Xenopus tropicalis: one gene and its partner. The protein of the gene in region 1 purifies or fractionates together with the protein of each later gene. This does not show direct contact. Links are inferred from orthologs where the notes say so. Each region holds a gene or a part of one and is shown in the gene's direction. Other genes may lie near its edges.

Region 1 (5,163 bases):
ACGGTGCTCAAAGCAGAATAGATTGGTCACTTTCCTCTTGGGACATTTGCACAGCCCCATGATGACAGGGACACCTGCTGAGGGAAACAGAAATGGTGACAGAAATGCATCAGCCATAGCTCTCTTAAAAACCATCCTTATAGAGTATTCAAATACAAATTAACTTCTGTATGTTTTTCATGGTTCATATTGCATAGAGTACACTGAATAGAAGCAGACACATGTATCCAAATTATTCCCGGTGGCCTTAATATCATAAAAGATAAAACCAAATTTCAGAAGTATTTGTGCCCATACAGGGACAAATTTCCAAGGGGACACTAATTTGTATATAATGCTACCTGTTAATTTTCTATTAACCTCTGAGAGAGCTGTTTTACCCTGGGCAACTTCCTATATGGCCAATGCAATAAAAAAAATCTTTAAAGACATTGGTTGTTGAAGAAGACACTTGTGTGTATTTGCTAAGCCAAGTCCTCCTGACTTTGACACATTAGGCTAGTTTAACTATACTGAAACATATGTTCTATCTTTGTTCCAAGTTGCATGGGCATTTTTAGTAGTTATTTGCAGGAATTGTACTATAATATAAAGATACGGGTAAATGAACAGAATGTTATTTTTCTTTGTAATATGTGGTCACAACCTCACTGCTTCACTGATGAAGAGGAAAGCTTACCTATAAAGGATAAGGACGGGTGGATTTATTGGAGGTGCCAATGTGTTAGATACCTCTCTGATGAATCCAATCAGTAAGTTTTTCCTGGGGGCTGGTGCTTTTTTAAGGAAAATACTGCACCCTCCCAGAGAAATAACCAACAGGCCACAGTGCTGCTATTTTACATGTCTGTCACTAGGTTAACCATCTTTTCTGGAAAAAAATACTGGCTTTTTTATACTTTACATTGGCATCTATCATCAATTGTACTGGTCAGGGCAGTAAAATCCCAGCCCGTATTTTTATTTTTTTCCCTATTAATAAAATTGGCACCAAGCTTCAGTTTTACAGGCCAGATGGCAACACAAACGCTATGTGTCCCTGACACTGACTGACACTCAAGCATGTACAGAAGAATGAATAAGGCAAAATGGTGGAGAAAAACCTTACTAAATCCTTTTTTTTTTTGTTCAGAGCATCATATACTCATCTTCCATTCATATTTTCAAACAACTGTCTGGTTGCTTCAGTAACTAAGCCCTAACAACCACAAAAGTCGAAGCCTGCGAGCTGCAGAACAAAGTACACACACTTGTCTCTGTATATTATACCACTATGTTTCTGTTGAGATTTCAAAGCCTTGAATCCCGTGACAGCCCGACGTGGATGGAAACCTGAAGTGGTAGCGCAGAATCTGTATAGTTATACTATTCGTAGTCTCATCCTACACATAGCAATGCACCTACCTGCCTAGCGCTATATACACACAGCGGCCTCACGCCCCAATGCTCTCCCTCTTGCCAGCACTCTTCATTCACTATTCTCCCCTCCTGTTTCCATCCGGCACAGCTGGTTTACTATCTTTTTCCTTAGACAACCCTTTCCCACTCTTCTCTGCCACGTCTCTTCCGGGTGACAGTGACAGCAGCGTACGCGTCGCCCCGTTGTGACGTCATTTCCTCGACGCGCAGGGTAGTGGTTCTAGCAGCACAAGCGAACGTCACTTCCACTTCCGGCTTACAGAGCGGGCGCGGGATATTTGAAAGGCTCCTATTTAGTGACACTGGCGGAGTTTAAAGTCGGCTTCTGATAGTTTATACAATTCAGGAGTAGTAGGAGGAGGCTACTTATTTGTGCGGGTTACTAAGGCCGCGCAGTTCGTGTATGTAGAATTGTACCTATTACATAAAGGACTATAAGGATCCAAGCGATGTGTATGGCTTATAGGCTAGTGTGTAACCATGCAGCAGCCTCTGGTCGGTGGTAAACCTTAGTGAGCCGCGGCTTTAGATTATGTTAGAAGGTGCTAGCACCACTGGGGACTTTGTCTATAATAACTAAAGGACAGTTTTACAGACGGAAAGGCTATCGACACCAAGCGCCATGTCGGAGCGCAAGAAGAGAAGTAGCGGTGCAGAGTCCCGCAGAGGAGTAGGTGAGACCTGGGGTATGAGGGGCATTTGGCTAACAACGTAGCAAGTTATATTCTTATGCCATATTATTTAGCGCTGACATATTCCTGGGAGCTTTGCAATCTAAGGAGCCTGTAATATTCACACACAGTCAGGCCAGCTTTACCTGAAGCCATATAACCTGCCTGGATGTTCTTGGAGTGTGGAAGGAAACTGAAGACAGCAAAACTTACAGATGTTTTGAAATTGGACGCATTATTGGCTACATCTTATATAAAGGGTCCAGTTTATTAGGGTCACTAATATTCACATTTAGATCTGAACACAGTCTGTGACCAAAACATTGTCTTTCAGGCACTTTTAATCCTTATGACAAAGGTTTGGATCTGATTTAGCTGTCTGCTAAGGGTTCGTCTGGCTCTTGCAAAAAGCTGCTCAGATTCACGAGTCCCAAACGAAATCCTGGATCTGAGGCATCCTTGTTACATGCAATCGAAACCTGCCACCGGTCATCCAAATATGAGAGATCAAATAATAATTTATAAATATTATAGCAGATAATACATTAATTGTACAAAGGGACATGTCATTAAAAGTTTTCAGTTTGCTTATTATTGATATAAAGATAAGTATTAGAGTACATAATATATACACTATCCTATTTTCCAGACATAGGAATATTTTACTTTTATGCAAGAATGTTTATTAAGCTTGCCACACACACCAATATGATCATGTCGCACCAATATATTCATCCAAAACAAAGTTTCATACAATTTTTGGACTGTGTGGCATTCGAATTATCCTCCAGACAATTTTTATACCATGGCAATTAGAAACAGCGCTGCATATTTCTACTGTATTCCAAATAATGTTGAATGTGTTTTTTTTGCATTATTGCAGAATGTTTCACATGATTAAAATATCTGCCTATGTGTTTTTTTTTTTTTTTATAATAATATTCACAAGTGGACTTATTACAATAATTGGTTATGTTCCACTGAATACCCCCTCCCCTTTTGAGTACTGCTTGGCATTTACTTGAATGGGAAAACACTTTTTGTACTAGTAAGCTGATATAGTTTGGGAAAACAGATTTCCCGAGTGATATTGACATTATGGCAAATGTGAATGGGATGCTGATGTTGGCAGTGGTGTTCCTTCCTTTCAGGACCTGTAATGATCAAAACTCTTGTGATTTTTACCCTCATGTTCTCTGCCATAGTATGTCTGGGGATGTTTTGATTTGTTGTATATTATTTTAACACTTGTATCTCATTTTTTGCCACCCTTTTCATTTGCAGGTATCGTCTCTCCACCTAAAAGAAGATCCCAAAGAAAATCTGCTTCAGACAGTCCGGTATGTTCTTTACTTTCCATCCCTCTATTAGCCAGCTCCATTCAACACTCTAGTAAAGGGAAAATCCACCTTGAAGCAATCTTGTCCTGTTCTTTTAAGTTGATCTTCACTTTCCATAGTTGTTATAATTTGCATTCCTCTACCCATTTCCAGCATTTAAAAAGATTCAGAGACCCGGCACCCAAAAGACTATTGATCTCCGAATCTACAATTTTATTGCAACTTGCCCCAGTCCCTTTTACCTTCCAGTCTATTATTTAAACCACTGTCTTGCAGCTGTGGTACATTGGACCCTAGCAATCAGATAACCTAAATTCCAAATCCACAAAAAATGAAGGCCATTTGGAAATCATCTGATAATATACTGTCTACACCATACTGAAAGTAAATTAAAGGTGAATGACCCCTTTTAAGTTATTTTAAATTTTGTATTTTTCAGATCCCAGATCCTATCATGAAACGTTCAATTACGGTCAAGAAAATAATGCCCAGAAAAACACTGGTAAATATACTGTCGTGTTATGAAAAAAGAAAGCTTTACCCTTCTTCTGATATAATAATATTGGGGACTAATGCATATATAAAAGGAAGTAGCTAGTTCCGCTCACATTAGTGCTGAGTGAAGCAGGGGGAATAATATAGCTACTTTGTGACTCACTACAACACCAGGTGGGGAAATATAGGCACCTAGGCTTCATTTAATGGTAATTTTTTCCTGGTGCCAATATAATTATTTCTCTGGGAAGAGCATTACCTTTTTTGTAAATCCTTACATTCCCTGCTGCAATAGTGTCATTCTCCCATTGTTCAGCACTGTAAATCTTTGTTGTCTTCAGTTCATAGTGTAAAAATTCTTTGTATGTTTTTATCAGTAAGATGCTACAATTTTTCCAAATTGTTGTGCATTTTTCTAGAATTATCAGAATTCTTGATTATTAATTATATAGGAACAGAAGTAAGATAAGATTTAACTTGTGCCAATCTATAATATATGATTATGTATTGCATGTTTAGTGTATGATTAGGCAATGCTGATTTACATTGGTGTATTTCCAAATTGCTCACTGATGTATTTTTGTCCTCTGTTTCCAAAACATAGCTACCAGCTCAGATTCCAGCATATGTTTTTTAAAACTTGCTCTCACACTACTTTTATTTAATTTGTACTTACCTGAACTGAATCAGAAGCATTTTTTCTAACATTTCAGACTCAATGTTGCTACTATAACTGGTTTCAGCACCCAAGGCCTGAACCTGACATTAGCAGAGTACAGACAGACTGCTGTATTTAATCCTCACATTCACATGGCAGAATCTTAGCCTTTGTAAGCATTATTTGGGTTGTACCAATTTCTAATCAACAGCAAAACTGAATTTCATCAAAGAAAACTGGTGCATTCCAGAATTTTTTTCTTATTTTCTGTATCATTCCTATTTGTCTTTTTAGGCAGCTATTGCCAATACAGGATCTCAGTCCACACCTAAGGTAGGTCTTGACAATTTAAGTAACAAAAATCTCATGATTTCCAGCATTTAAGTGATGCTAAAAAATAACTAGTGTAAATGCCTCTGCTATTTGACTTAAGGTGGCCATACACAGGCTGATTCTAGCTGCCGATATTAGTCCTTTAGACCGATGCAGCAGCTTATCGGCCCATCTATGGGCACTAACGACAGGCCTGCCCGACCGACATTTGGCCTGAAATCATTCAGATCTCGATCGGGCAGGTTTG
Region 2 (5,114 bases), on another chromosome or scaffold:
CAAAATCTTTGCTGTCCGGGACTGGCCACTTCAAACCTGCAAGGGTTTTGTCTCTAACAACCTCCATCAGGTGATGATTAAAAGACAACTAAACCCTAAAATAGAATATGGCTAGATATGCTGTACTTTATGTATTGAACTGAATGCAGCAGTCTAAGTCAGCTGCTGACTTGATCTGAAGGGGTTGAATCGGCAGCTTAAATCTGCACATGCAGAGTCAGTCTGGGCCTAACGGACCACCAGGAAACATATGGTGGGCCCTGGTGACCCAGACCCGCTTGACACTATAGAAGCTACCCCCAACCTTCCACCTCACGGCCATAAGGGAAGAGTGCAAGGAACACGCAGGGGAATGGGGGTGCAGTGTGTGGAGAACCTAACAACTGGGGTTGTGGTGCCTAAATTGGTAGACCTGGTTGGCATTAGACCCCCCCCCCAGTCCAATGCCTACTAGCAGGGCCAATGATTTGATCACACACTAAAGGATTTTAAAGTTAATCATTTGATTTTAAAGTAAACTTAATAAAGGTATTTTTAATAGGTCTTAGCTGGTGTGCCTTGACAGGTGTCTAACTATAGTGCGAGGTTAACTTCACTATTAACACTAAAGGTGGGCACACATGGGTCAATAAAAGCTGCAGGCTTTGGTTGGTATTGGCCAACATATGAGGCCCTCCGACGGGCCTACTCGACTGATATCTGGCCAAAAATAGGACAGCTTTGATTTTCACATGGGATAGAGGACCAGACGTGCACGTTGATGAAGTCCTCAATCTGACAGTCTGCATAGGAGCAATTATGATCCAATCATTTGGCCCGAGGGCCAACCAATCAGATGAGTTCAATATTTAATTGTGTGACCACCTCGCCAACTGAGCGGATCTTTCAATGCCTGGCCTGCTTTAGGCCTGTGGGGGCCAATCAGATGAAGACTGCTTCAATGCACCTTGTCTGATGGAATTTTCAAACCTGTCCGACTGCTATTTGTATGTATGTATGTATGTATAACTTTATTTATAAAGCGCCACAAGGGTACTCAGCGCTGTACAGTCTTACAGAATACACAATTACACACAGGGAGGACAAGTGATATAATAAATAAATACAATAAATACATATATGTATATATATATATAGGAACAGGTGAAAACAGGCACTCACGTATAATGAAGTAATAATTTGCCTGGGTGCAGTATAAAGTGAGCATACAAAATTAGAAAGAATATGCTGCACACTCAGGTCTTAGATGCAAAAAACAAAAAAAAATTTATTTGGATCAAGGATCGAGTCCTTGATCCAAATAAAAAAAATTTTGTTTTTTGCATCTAAGACCTGAGTGTGCGGCATATTCTTTCATTCTTTCTAATTTTATATATATATATAAATGCCATGTGGTATGAGAAACAGTAGGAAGGAGGTCCCTGCCCCGTAGAGCTTACAATCTAAGTGACAACATACACAGCTTTTATGGGCCCATATAGGGCCACTATTACTTAGCCATGTAGTACCTACATGCATAAGTGTCGCCTGTAACATGACAGATGGTTAGGGAATGCACTGACAGCGTCCCCCCGCTGGCACAGTAGTGGAATGGATTTGCCCTGTGGCTACTGAATACTTTCCATTCCACTAGTCAAACGGATTTCTCACTCGCCCATAGTTGTAGAGCGCCAAGGTTTCGTCACCGAGAGGGGGTGGATCTATGGCAGTTCCCAGTTTGGCCGCCTGGGGCCGCTGCATGACCGTACAGCGGGGAAGGCCGCGCTTATTCCCATAGCCGCTTCCATTGGAGCTGCCGGAGACAAATTGGCGCCATTTTGAAGCTCTGGGCAGGCTGCACGGAGCGGGATAACACGGACGGAGAGGAGAGCGGGGAGTCGGAGCCGGAGGGGAGGGAGTACAACGTACTGGCGAGCGGCAACATATAAAGGTAAGACATACGGTGCCAGGGCCGGCGGGCAGAGGCCTGTGTTCCGGTGAGCGGCCTCCCGGCTGAAGGGAACGGTGTGCGGGGGATGCGGGGAGCGGCCCGGGGGTACGGAGCGCTGTGCTGCCCTCACTCAGTGCGGGGAAGTTGTCTGTAATGCTGCGCAGTCATGCTGTTATGTACAGCGCCATCGCTGGCCCCTCCTGTCGCTGAACTACAACTCCCAGCATCCTCCGGCAGCCCAAGCCTGCCCAGGGGTCGGGGGGCGGGGGGAGAGGAGTATAGTTTCAAGACTGCTGATCACAAAGGCACTGGGTGCCCGGGGGTGCCCTGTATTGTTACTGGGTGCCCTGTATAGTCACTGGGTGCCCGGGGTTGCCCTGTATTGTCACTGGGTGCCCGGGGTTGCCCTGTATTGTCACTGGGTGCCCGGGGTTGCCCTGTATAGTCACTGGGTGCCTGGTATAGTCACTGGGTGCCCGGGGTTGCCCTGTATAGTCACTGGGTTGCCCTGTATTGTCACTGGGTGCCCGGGGTTGCCCTGTATTGTCACTGGGTGCCCGGGGTTGCCCTGTATAGTCACTGGGTGCCTGGTATAGTCACTGGGTGCCCGGGGTTGCCCTGTATAGTCACTGGGTGCCTGGTATAGTCACTGGGTGCCCGGGGTTGCCCTGTATAGTCACTGGGTGCCTGGTATAGTCACTGGGTGCCCGGGGTTGCAGGGCATATATATTCTGCCTGGATATTAGATGCCCAGCCTCTCACATTGCTGCTGTATGACTGGGCATGCTGGGTAGTTGTAGTTCTAGAAGTGGAGTGCAGGCATTCCTGGCCTGGATTGTCAAGATTCTAAATAATTAAAGGCAGCCATAACCCAGAGTGACTTTCCCTTTAATAGCTGTCCCAGTGTGGGTGCTGTACATTTGTCTGGCTGTGGGTGCTGTACATTTGTCTGGCTGTGGGTGCTGTACATTTGTCTGGCTGTGGGTGCTGTACATTTGTCTGGCTGTGGGTGCTGTACATTTGTCTGGCTGTGGGTGCTGTACATTTGTCTGGCTGTGGGTGCTGTACATTTGTCTGGTTGTGGGTGCTGTACATTTGTCTGGTTGTGGGTGCTGTACATTTGTCTGGTTGTGGGTGCTGTACATTTGTCTGGTTGTGGGTGCTGTACATTTGTCTGGTTGTGGGTGCTGTACATTTGTCTGGTTGTGGGTGCTGTACATGACTGCCTGGGCCATGTATGACTAGAATGCCAAAAACCCACTGGCACTGTTCTCCTACCTACTGCTCACCCCCATTTCTGTTCGGATTAGAAGCTTTACTTTGTGGCCCTTTGTAGCTATTTGATGGTTGCTGCGGCTGCATCTCCTTACTATATACTTTATGAATGGCATTCATTGGCTGACAGCTGACACAGGTCATTGACACTAGGGCTTGTGTGACACTGATATACTAGTGCTTGTCTGACTTATTTACCACTTGAAGCCCCGCCTCTTTGAGGGTCCAATCTTTGGCTGGGGGCCCCTTAGCTCATGGTTACTGATATAGGAAACCTTTGTGTATGAGTTTAACCATCTAGATTGGCATTCAGGTGTATCTAGGAGATCAAATAGGCTTTCCCTCAAAATCTTACCCTCACTTGCATTGATACTGAGCCCCTGCTCCACAGTTGGGCGCTAGTGATGCTTGGGCCAACAGTTTTTTTTTATTTTTGAAAGCCCGAGGTCGTGCTTTCTTCCTAAGTGCAAAAAGTGCGAAAAGTGCATCGTGCAAAAAACACACAAAAGTGCACAAAGGGTGCGTTTAGCTGCTAGCCCCTAAAGGGGCAAAGCTGCCATACTCGATTCCCACGTGGCCAAAAGGCTCGGCGAAAAAAGAGTCTTCGAACCCTCCTTTGCCGAAGCTAGGGAGGGTCCCTTTACATCCCCGACCCCCGGACCAAAAGGCTCACGGGGGCAAGGGTCTTCGGACTCTCCTTCGCCGCAAGGCTAGGGAGAGTCCCTTTCCTCCGGAATCCGCCGAAGCTTCCTCCGAGGTACAGTCAAGGCCGAAGTCTTGTCTTAGGTCGGGGAGAGACAGGAGCCAAAAGGCCACACAGTCCTCCCCTTGGTCCGTGGGGCATACCCAAAAGGGCAACTGCACCCTCAGAACCCATTCGAAAGGGTCACATAGAAAAAAGTGCAGTGACAAAACAAGAAGTGAATAAATATAAAATAAGAAAAAGAGTGCCGTGTATACGGCCCCAGCCTGACGTCCGGAATTTTAAAAATTTCTCTCTGCTCATCAGCCAAAAGGCCGGGGGCAGAAGGAGCGAGTGCAGCATAAAAACTTAAAGTGCCATTGTGCAAAGTGCTGTACTAGTGCAGCGTGAGCCACCACCTCACTGTGCTTGTTCGGGCACCCTGGGGTCGCTACTCCCAGGGCACGGCGCACCTCGGGCTTTCATGCTACCGGCCCTCTGGCCAGAGGATCATGGTAGACTGTCTTATATAGGGGGGGAGGAGAACCCCCTTAAGAACAGATACTACACTTGATCTTAGCCAAAGGGCCGAGAAGCGAGAAGCTTGGGCCAACAGTTACTTGACCCGGGGAAAGCCAAACCTGCCCCGTTTCGACCCGACCCACCATACTGCAACTGTTTACATAACTGCGCCCGACTCCCCCATCTCTAGATGTCACAGGAGGGGATGGGCACAAGTCTATAAAAGGAGTTAGACCTGGAGATAAATGGAGAAAAGAGATTGGTGGGGGTGTATATTTAAGCCCGCCCATAACAAAGACTTAAATTGCTGGCCCAGCCCCCACAATTAGATACCAATGCTGCACTGTTGTAGCTCTTAATTCCACCCCCCCATTGCTGGCATGATGCTTAACCCCTATACCCATCTGCCACCTCCACATTTTAACTCGGAGGCTGCACTGTGCTCGGTGGTGTCTCTTGTTCTTTTAGATAGTGCCTCTGTCTGCCCCGGCTGTACAGCTGTCTGAGCACAACAGGCATTGCTTGCCAACCAAACTTTGTACTGTGCTTTCTTAGGGACCCTGGCACACTCGTAGGCATGATGCTGTAGAAGGAGTGCTGTGCGGCAGTATTGGCACTGGAATAACTAGCTTTTTATACATGGTCTGCAGTGTTTTCATTGGGAAATAAAAATGCAAGAATATATATATTTTGCTTCCATGTGGT

What was found. The genes of interacting proteins can lie anywhere in the genome.
Region 2: the proteins of cdca5 (region 1) and pds5b purify together in Homo sapiens (affinity purification with western blotting; 4 studies listed by BioGRID and IntAct, with this or other methods). This does not show direct contact. The link is inferred for Xenopus tropicalis from reciprocal best matches to the Homo sapiens genes CDCA5 and PDS5B.

What each region holds. Positions count from the first base shown.
Region 1 is NC_030680.2:33,589,058-33,594,220, reverse strand, and holds the start of cdca5 (sororin), read left to right. Parts: upstream 1-1,672; 5' UTR 1,673-2,041; coding exon 2,042-2,093; intron 2,094-3,374; coding exon 3,375-3,430; intron 3,431-3,869; coding exon 3,870-3,932; intron 3,933-4,877; coding exon 4,878-4,916; intron 4,917-5,163. Other genes in the region: zfpl1 (zinc finger protein-like 1), read right to left, coding at 1-60. UniProt on the Homo sapiens protein: Regulator of sister chromatid cohesion in mitosis stabilizing cohesin complex association with chromatin. May antagonize the action of WAPL which stimulates cohesin dissociation from chromatin.
Region 2 is NC_030678.2:153,120,576-153,125,689, reverse strand, and holds the start of pds5b (sister chromatid cohesion protein PDS5 homolog B), read left to right. Parts: upstream 1-1,846; 5' UTR 1,847-1,930; intron 1,931-4,391; exon of another isoform or gene 4,392-4,487; intron 4,488-5,114. UniProt on the Homo sapiens protein: Regulator of sister chromatid cohesion in mitosis which may stabilize cohesin complex association with chromatin. May couple sister chromatid cohesion during mitosis to DNA replication.